2 linked regions of the Bombyx mori genome follow. Each later gene encodes a partner of the first gene's protein in a complex. Links are inferred from orthologs where the notes say so. Each region holds a gene or a part of one and is shown on either strand. Other genes may lie near its edges.

Evidence for each region.
Region 2: dynein regulatory complex subunit 7 (region 1) and dynein regulatory complex protein 8 share a complex: the UniProt entries of both Homo sapiens proteins name them as parts of the nexin-dynein regulatory complex. The link is inferred for Bombyx mori from reciprocal best matches to the Homo sapiens genes DRC7 and DRC8.

Annotation. Positions count from the first base shown.
Region 1 is NC_085131.1:3,580,343-3,583,995, reverse strand, and holds the end of dynein regulatory complex subunit 7, read left to right. Parts: intron 1-1,804; coding exon 1,805-1,896; intron 1,897-2,879; coding exon 2,880-3,036; 3' UTR 3,037-3,296; downstream 3,297-3,653. UniProt on the Homo sapiens protein: Component of the nexin-dynein regulatory complex (N-DRC) a key regulator of ciliary/flagellar motility which maintains the alignment and integrity of the distal axoneme and regulates microtubule sliding in motile axonemes.
Region 2 is NC_085130.1:5,994,810-5,999,183, reverse strand, and holds the start of dynein regulatory complex protein 8, read right to left. Parts: upstream 2,898-4,374; 5' UTR 2,765-2,897; coding exon 2,740-2,764; intron 2,491-2,739; coding exon 2,377-2,490; intron 1,872-2,376; coding exon 1,748-1,871; intron 1,297-1,747; coding exon 1,170-1,296; intron 353-1,169; exon of another isoform or gene 114-352; coding exon 30-113; intron 1-29. Other genes in the region: heterogeneous nuclear ribonucleoprotein U-like protein 1, read left to right, coding at 3,603-3,732. UniProt on the Homo sapiens protein: Component of the nexin-dynein regulatory complex (N-DRC), a key regulator of ciliary/flagellar motility which maintains the alignment and integrity of the distal axoneme and regulates microtubule sliding in motile axonemes.

The sequences.
Region 1 (3,653 bases):
ACACTGCCTTACTCTTAGCAAAATTAACTCACTATGGGTTCTCTGATAATGCTGTGCAATGGTTTAGCAGTTATATGTCGAGTAGAACGCAATTTGTACAGATACGGAAAGAAGATGGAACTAAACTAACCTCTACTTCTAAGCCGATTACTAGAGGCGTTCCCCAAGGTTCTGTCCTGGGACCATTGTTATTTATTTTGTACAGTGCAGATATCACTCAGTGTTTCAAGAATTGTAAATACCATGTTTATGCTGACGATGTACAATTATACCACTCTTTTGATGTTGGAGATACCCCTTCTGCTGTCAGTTTTATCAATGAGGATCTGCAGAGGATTGTCTCTTGGTCTGAACAGAATTCCTTAGTATTGAACCCCTCTAAGTCTAAATACATGATACTAGGCAGTAAATCTCAGATAGCAAAGATTTTATCACTCGATCCTAAGGTGACTGTTTCGGGTAAGGAAATTGATCGGGTGGAGTTAGCATGCAGTTTGGGTTTGACAATTGATCCCGAATTGCGATTCGAGGCCCATATTACAAAGAATTTAAGAACTTGTTTTTACAGACTGAAGATTCTGTACTCGTTTAGACAGTACGTCAGTGTACCCATTAGGAAGTTGCTTATCGATAGTCTAGTTTTGTCGAAATTAAATTACTGTGATACTGTTTATGGTCCCTGTTTACTCTCGAGAACTGAAAAATTAATACAACGCATTCAAAATGCCTGTGCCAGGTATTGCTTTGACATTCCTGTGAGAGGACACATAACGCCCTATTTAAATGATCACAATATATTGAAAATGGCAGCTAGAAGAAGGTTGCACTTAGCAGTCTTACTATTTGGAGTGATTTCGACACATGAACCTAGGTATTTGTATGAGAAGTTAGATTGGAGAAGCACTCAGTACAGGTATGGCTCACGAGCTGCTGTTAAGCCATTGTTGACGCCCAAATATAAAACAGCTGCTTTTCGGGGAGCGTTTAAATACGCAGCTACGCATTGCTGGAACGATCTCCCACCACCTATTCGTCACATTGTAACAAAGCATGGCTTTATTAATCGTTTAAAATCATTTCTATTGGATTCACAAAAACTAATTTAATTTATAGTATTTATAGGAACTAGTTTTATCCTTGCTTTTGAAAACCTCCTTTTATTTAAGTTATTTTTTTTTTTTTTATGTACAAGTGTAAATGTTGTGCTGCTTGCCAGTATTAGTAATAGTATTATCGTGCTTTATTTTATTTTATTTGTTGTTTCGTTGTGGGCTGCCTACGGGGTGCTGTTACTGTTTGCTTATTATGTTATATATGTATGTATTAGGGTTCACAATTTAATTTGATTTTTGTTTTGTTTTTTTCTTAAATTTTTATAATTTACTAGTTTTACTAATTTATACCATATTCTAAGTATGTACACACGTAATTAGCCTTCATTCCCGCAAAGAACCAAGGGGAAACGGGGGTGACTGAAAATCAGCGCTGTTCGATTTATCAACCTCGAACAGCAATAGCTGAGCCACCTCCTTTTGCCTTTTTCTCTTTTTTTTTCTTTTCTTTTATTTGTATTTCATTTTATTTTCTGTGATGTGAAAGGCAATAAATGATTTTTATTATTATTATTATTATTATAAAGCCGTAAGAGATTCTGGTTTTAATTACTTTTTCGCTGCACAAAAATTTGCGAATCAGCAATGTGTTTCTCATAAAATAATTGGCGATTTTTATTGCTTTCTTCATAATTATCCGCAGCAGCCTCTATTGCTGTATTAAATTTGTTCTTCATTTTCAAATTTAACAGTTGAACAACGAATACAAAAACAAGAGACTGTGGTACTTAGCGAACCAATTCATTCTGACACCCGAGAAAGAGAGTAACTACTTCACTATGAGGTCAGTATAAGTTATCTATTGAAATAATCCATGAAATAGATCGTAAATTTCCATTTTATTTTGACGTATTAACTTGACCGCAAAAAGCATGGAGGGTAGAGGTAAGGAGAATCGTCTCTGATGTGAAAAAGTGTCCGTTAAAATCTGCTAAATAAGGGTGGCGCTGCTAAGTAGCAACCGGGTAAATTTTAAAAAAGGCGCTGAACGTTATTAGAACAAGATAGAGAAATAAAAAAGGACGAAAGAACTGAAGCACTACAAAATCATAAAAAGTATTTTATTTAAAGCTGATAAGAAAATGCAATCGATGTCTCCACGTTTTACCACAGCAATAATTTTAGGTTATATTGACGAAATTAGTTTGGACTACGTAAACATGTGAGGTCTTGTATATTACACTGTTACTAACTACTCTATTCATTAAATATATTATATTTCCTAACTCGGCATACTTCAATCAGTTAACAACTGCTCCATTCCTATGCTAGCGCCATTCTGGAGGATTTTTGAACTGTTACTTAGTGCTGAAAGTGGGACACTTTTTCAAGTTTCTCCCATATAAGACGGTTCTCCTTACCTCCCTCCATAGCTAAAAGTCTGCGCTCCATAAAATGCTTGTAATGAACGATCTGACTTAGAAGAGGCGTGGAGTCGTAATTAATATTTTTTTATTGTTTTGCCTACTAACGAATGATTTACTGTGATATTGTCAGTTTAAAAATTGATGTCAGATTGAATGCATTCTCGCAGTGGCCAGTTGTTAGAAGCAAAAGGTCGCATATGCATGACTTCATAATGTTAATTCTAGATCGAAATCAGCTATTTAAGCGTCTGTGCGCTTTTTTTGGGGCGAAACTATTTTTCGGTTCTAATGACCTCTAATACTAGATGAACGGGGACTCCGACTCCCTCTGTACGTCTACAGAAGTCGTTTTTTTTTTAAAACAGATCTGCTATAACGTCTACAATTTTTGACATTTCAGTGCGGAATTAGCATTCCAAGTACACACACTAGAGGTGCGATTGACAAGGCATCAAGATTTGTCAGGTCCAAGATATAAAATCCTCCTAGAGTATCTTGACAAACATCCATTACTGAAGGAATATAATCGTTCAAAGAATTATTATGGCATAAAATAGTATTACGTTCATCTTCAAATTTATTTTTGGGTTGGTATATTTTCTTAAAAAGGGCCCGTGTGGACATACTGGCAAATTGTAGTCAAGCGCGGTATTAAAAAAGCGTATTAAAAATAAAAGAAAGTTTCACAGCCCTATTAGGGCCGTTTAATTTTGAATTTCGAGTTTACAAGAAGACTAATTTTTATTTTCAAATATGTAGGTACTTAATGTACGATTTTGTTTTTTGGTGAAATAAATAAAATTTATTACGGTGTTAACGTTGTATGAATTTTAAATTAGATGACTTACAGGAGAAACTTATCGATAAATAAAAGCAAGCGGAAACCGATAGTGAAATATGCGATAAGTACATACATGAGATCTTAAATTAAAAGCTTCCAGAATTTTATGGATTTTTTTAAGGAACCATAATAATATAAAATGTAAGAAATTGAACATATTTTTTCATCAAGATGAACGCTACTCACAACGAATGACTTCACCAGGTGCAACACGTGATGTATAGCATGCACCTAGATGTGGTACTTAGTTTCGCGCCAATTTTGAAAAATGAAATACAGTCAAACCTGAGTAAGTGAGAACTGGATAAGTGAGAAAACTCTATAAGTGAGAGT
Region 2 (4,374 bases), on another chromosome or scaffold:
AACAAAACAACAAAATAGAATGCGCTCACCATAAGTTGGTTGATGTAATATTCGTACATTATTGTATCTGTTACAGGATCTAACGCTGTTTGCATCATTTCATCGTACTCCTCCTGTATCATGAAAAAAATGAGAGCCATAAGAATACTCGTTGAAATTTAACCGAGTCAATTCATATCCATATACAACAGTATAGTATTTGTTAGCATAACATATAACACGGTATTATTTTATAATAACTAATGTTATGGATTATTGTTGTATAGTGTTAGGATTATTAATTATAAAAAATAATGTTATATTATAATACGATTCGGTATAAATAAAAATTCTATCGAAGTACGAATTGAAACTGTGTTATCTCTTAGAACACTTAAAACACTTCACAAACACGAGAGACTATTTCAGTTTCGCCCTAACATGAAGGTTCACGGGGCCCAAGCCTGAGTGTTGCTAACACTGGCCCTAGCAAGAGCAGCGCTTCGCAGAATCTACCACCGGATCGGGAACGCGACCCACTGAGAAGATTCGGCGAGAAACTTAGTTCGGCGAGGACTGTGACCGGTGCTTGTGGTACCTAAAAGCACCGTTAATGGATCGGGAGGATCCGTAATGACGTGTTTTGGGTGACGTCGACAGCATCTCTGCAACGCTTATAAAGTCGATACGACATCCCTAGAATCGTCGAGAACATTCCTCACAAGTCGAGCACTTTCAATGCGTGCTTCCGCTACCTGACAATAGATGGCGTTGTACTTTTCGAGCGTTCTAGATGTTGCTATCATTTGGTATTCGTTTCGGCTGTTCAGCGATAGATGGCGTTACTCTTACCGGCGTAACAATATATTATACGACATAAAGTGAAGGCAGCCGGAAAACGAATTGTTTTATTTAAAACTAGCTGACCCGGCAGACTTCGTAGTACCCCAATCGATAAATAAAAGACCGACAGGGGACACATCAAAGGAAAAACAAAATTGTTATTTTTATTAAATTCCGTGCATTTTCATATCTATCTATCTTTTAAATCTTCGCTCGACTTCCACAAATAATTCAAGACCAAAATTAGCCAAATCGGTTCAGCCGTTCTCGAGTTTTAGCGAGACTGATTAACAACAATTCATTTTTATATATATAGATATAGATAATAATAAGAAATTTTAAGGTACCTGCGTAAATGACTCTCCTTCTTCCATCATAAGCTTGGCGAACCTCTCTTTAGTGAGGTACCCACGTCCCTCCGTGTCAAAATATCTGAATGCAGCCAACAGCATTTCAGCGCTCGCCGGATAAAACCTGTCCCATTAATAAATAAAATACCTGACATAATGAACATTTTATGGAAAATTAAATTAAAAAATTCACGTACGAAAGGTAGAAAGCTAACATCAAAATCTACTTATCTCGGTGATCAATGGCGTAATTGGCTTTGTCAAAAATTCCAACGTTTCCATAAGCTACAATTTAATGGCATAAGCACCACATGATGCTTAGGCTAAAGTATAAGTGTAGGTAATTTATTTCGTAGTAAACGCAATACAGTGAAATCCAATTGTTCTTTGTCAATTTTTGATATTAGCATAGTCGGCCGCGTTTTAATTAGAAACAAAAACCTTAGCCACAGCAACGTGTGGCCGGGTCTGCCAGTATTATATTAAAAAGAAGATATGAAAAATAACAACGAAGATTGAGCCACACTGTCAAAATTTTAAAATTGTTTAACCTTTTTAATTTTAATATTACAAACCTATGTTCTATCATGACTTTACACATGTAAGGTAAAAAGTTCGTTAACGGAACGTTTCCAGTTGCTTCTTTGTTTTCCGTTGCTAAAATCACCTCTTGTATCTCGGCTTCAGTTGGACAGCAACCTTTAAAAAACATATATTTAACGTCTCTTTTGCTATATTCAAAATTTACCATGTAAACAGTCTATTTAGTACTCAAACAGTTATCCGCTTAGAAGTTTCCAAAACAAAAAACGGCCTAAGGGTCCGTTCACACAGACCGGCTCGGAGAGGAGAGCACCTTCATTCCGACTATTCCTCCTAAATAATTTGTAGCGACTCGAAGACGTGAATAATCACTGTCATACTAAAATTGAGATATCTATTATCCTAAAAGGGTGAAAAATTGGAGCACGGAAAGCAAAATGATGACTTTTTTCATGCGTAATTACGTTGTAAACACGGCTATTGTATTCTTACGATATTTAGTATGATTTCGCGATACTTCGGCACTGTTCCAAGCGCCATCGGCTACTCGTGGTGACTCGTGTCTTTTAATTTACCGTGAGAGTCAGAATTTTTTAAATACTCTTTATTACACTAGTAAAGTATTAAAACATTTAACGAAAACCAGAAAAAAAAGCATTACCCAAAGATCGAAGAATTGTTCCTATTTCCCTTACATCTACGACTTGCTTCCCAGAATGGTCAAATACTTCGAAAGCTTCAATTATTTTTTTCTCCAAATCATTGTTTGGTTGAACTAGAAAGATACATTTAAGGTATATGAGATATACCAATATATGACATATATCAGATATTATACCAGACGTAATATCTATTTACCAATAAAAATGTTTGGTTTTGTTTAAATTTCAACTAATAAATGTATTTATGTATGTATTCATTTATAATAAAATTTAATGAGTGATACTAAATTACACAGTATTTACATCGCTCGTTTATAAATTATTAAATGTATATAAAGTAAATCTTTCAAATAATAACTAACTTTTAGGTTCCTCTTTTCTTGCCATAATGAACTAATAGTTTAATTATAAGATTTGTAACACTAATAAGTACACGTATTAAATTGAAAAAAATATTCCGTAACCAGGCAACACAACCTATCAGTTATCACTAGTGTCATCGACGAAGCTTTAGTTCTATTTTGCACCAGAGCTGCTGTAAGTTAGTATGTATATATGTGACGGATGCTTTGAACATGATTTTGACCCCCTTCAAAACGTAGACTGAAATCAAAATTTGACATAGGTACTTATCAAGGACCGTTGACAATGCAATATTTTAAACAGTTAGACCTATTATCCATAAATTAGTTTTTTTTAGGATTAGCTCCCAGTTTTAACAGCTCCTCCACAATATTGACAAAGCTTAATTCAACCAATGTACAAATTAATAGCTTATTGTTGACATGTTGATGTTTAATTGTCGTACCACATTCAAAAAATATTAGTTAAAAAAAAATATATACTTTAAAAAACACAAAAATATGCTTTTATAGAAAATCAAATAGAAAATAAATTCATTGTAAAAACAATCCAATCTATACTGATTAAACAGCAGGCTTCCAGACTTTTGAGTAGTATGGATAAGAAACCCTTGGCCTTTTGAATTTTACAACAAATAGCTTATTCCAAAAAATTCTGGAATCGCCAATCCCCACCATAGATAATATACCGCCATTTCCTTCCGTTATGCTGATGCGCCGCTAAATCGCCATTTTGGATTTAGTTGGCGCTTTTTCTGTCGTGAATTTTCGTTCAGATAGTAATAGAATTAATATTATTTAAGCACATGTGTTTTAAAAACTTTAAAGTGTTGTGAAGTGGATACTATCAGACGATTAATACAATGGATCCTGCTAAAATGAAGGTGGTGGACTTGAGGTCCGAGTTGGGTGCTCTCGGGTTAGATACGAAGGGAAACAAGCCGGCTTTGGTAGAAAGATTGAAAAAAGCACTCGAAGCGAAAACTGGAACAGGTTAGGATTTCAGATGTAATTATTTAATGCGTAATGTACAGTTTTTTAGTAATGTTGCTGAAATTGTTGTTAGGGACTTTTTTAATTACTGCACGTGTACATTTGTCGATCAATCATGGATCATTGTTGCACTGTTGTTTCCACTTTAAGAGATTTAGTGTGATTCTTAGTAACTTTAACTTCCGTAGTAACCATACATCAGTTTGCTGTCCCATTTAGAGATTTGCAAACACACCTATTTTAATATCTGACGCCAAAATCAAGGTTACGACTTTATTCACACTCAAGCATGAGATAAAATCGCATAAAAATCTAATAATTTATTAAATATTAATGTACAGCATCATTAAGTTTTCGAAGTATTTTATATGTTTTTACTGATACAACGACGCATATCAGTTATTGCAGTTATTCCAACTGAACAGTTCAAATCGTAATCGGTTTGAAAACTTCGACATCGATATCAATTTATGTATACACTGTTTTATGGGAAATTCATTCATATGATTATTCTTAGGCTTAATAATAGGTAAGAAGAGCTCGATTCTGCAAAGTAAAATAAAACGAAATTCAATCAAATCAGTTAAAAGCTTTTTTTGCACAAAATGTATACGTCTTTTTGCTTCTAATGTCCAGATATAG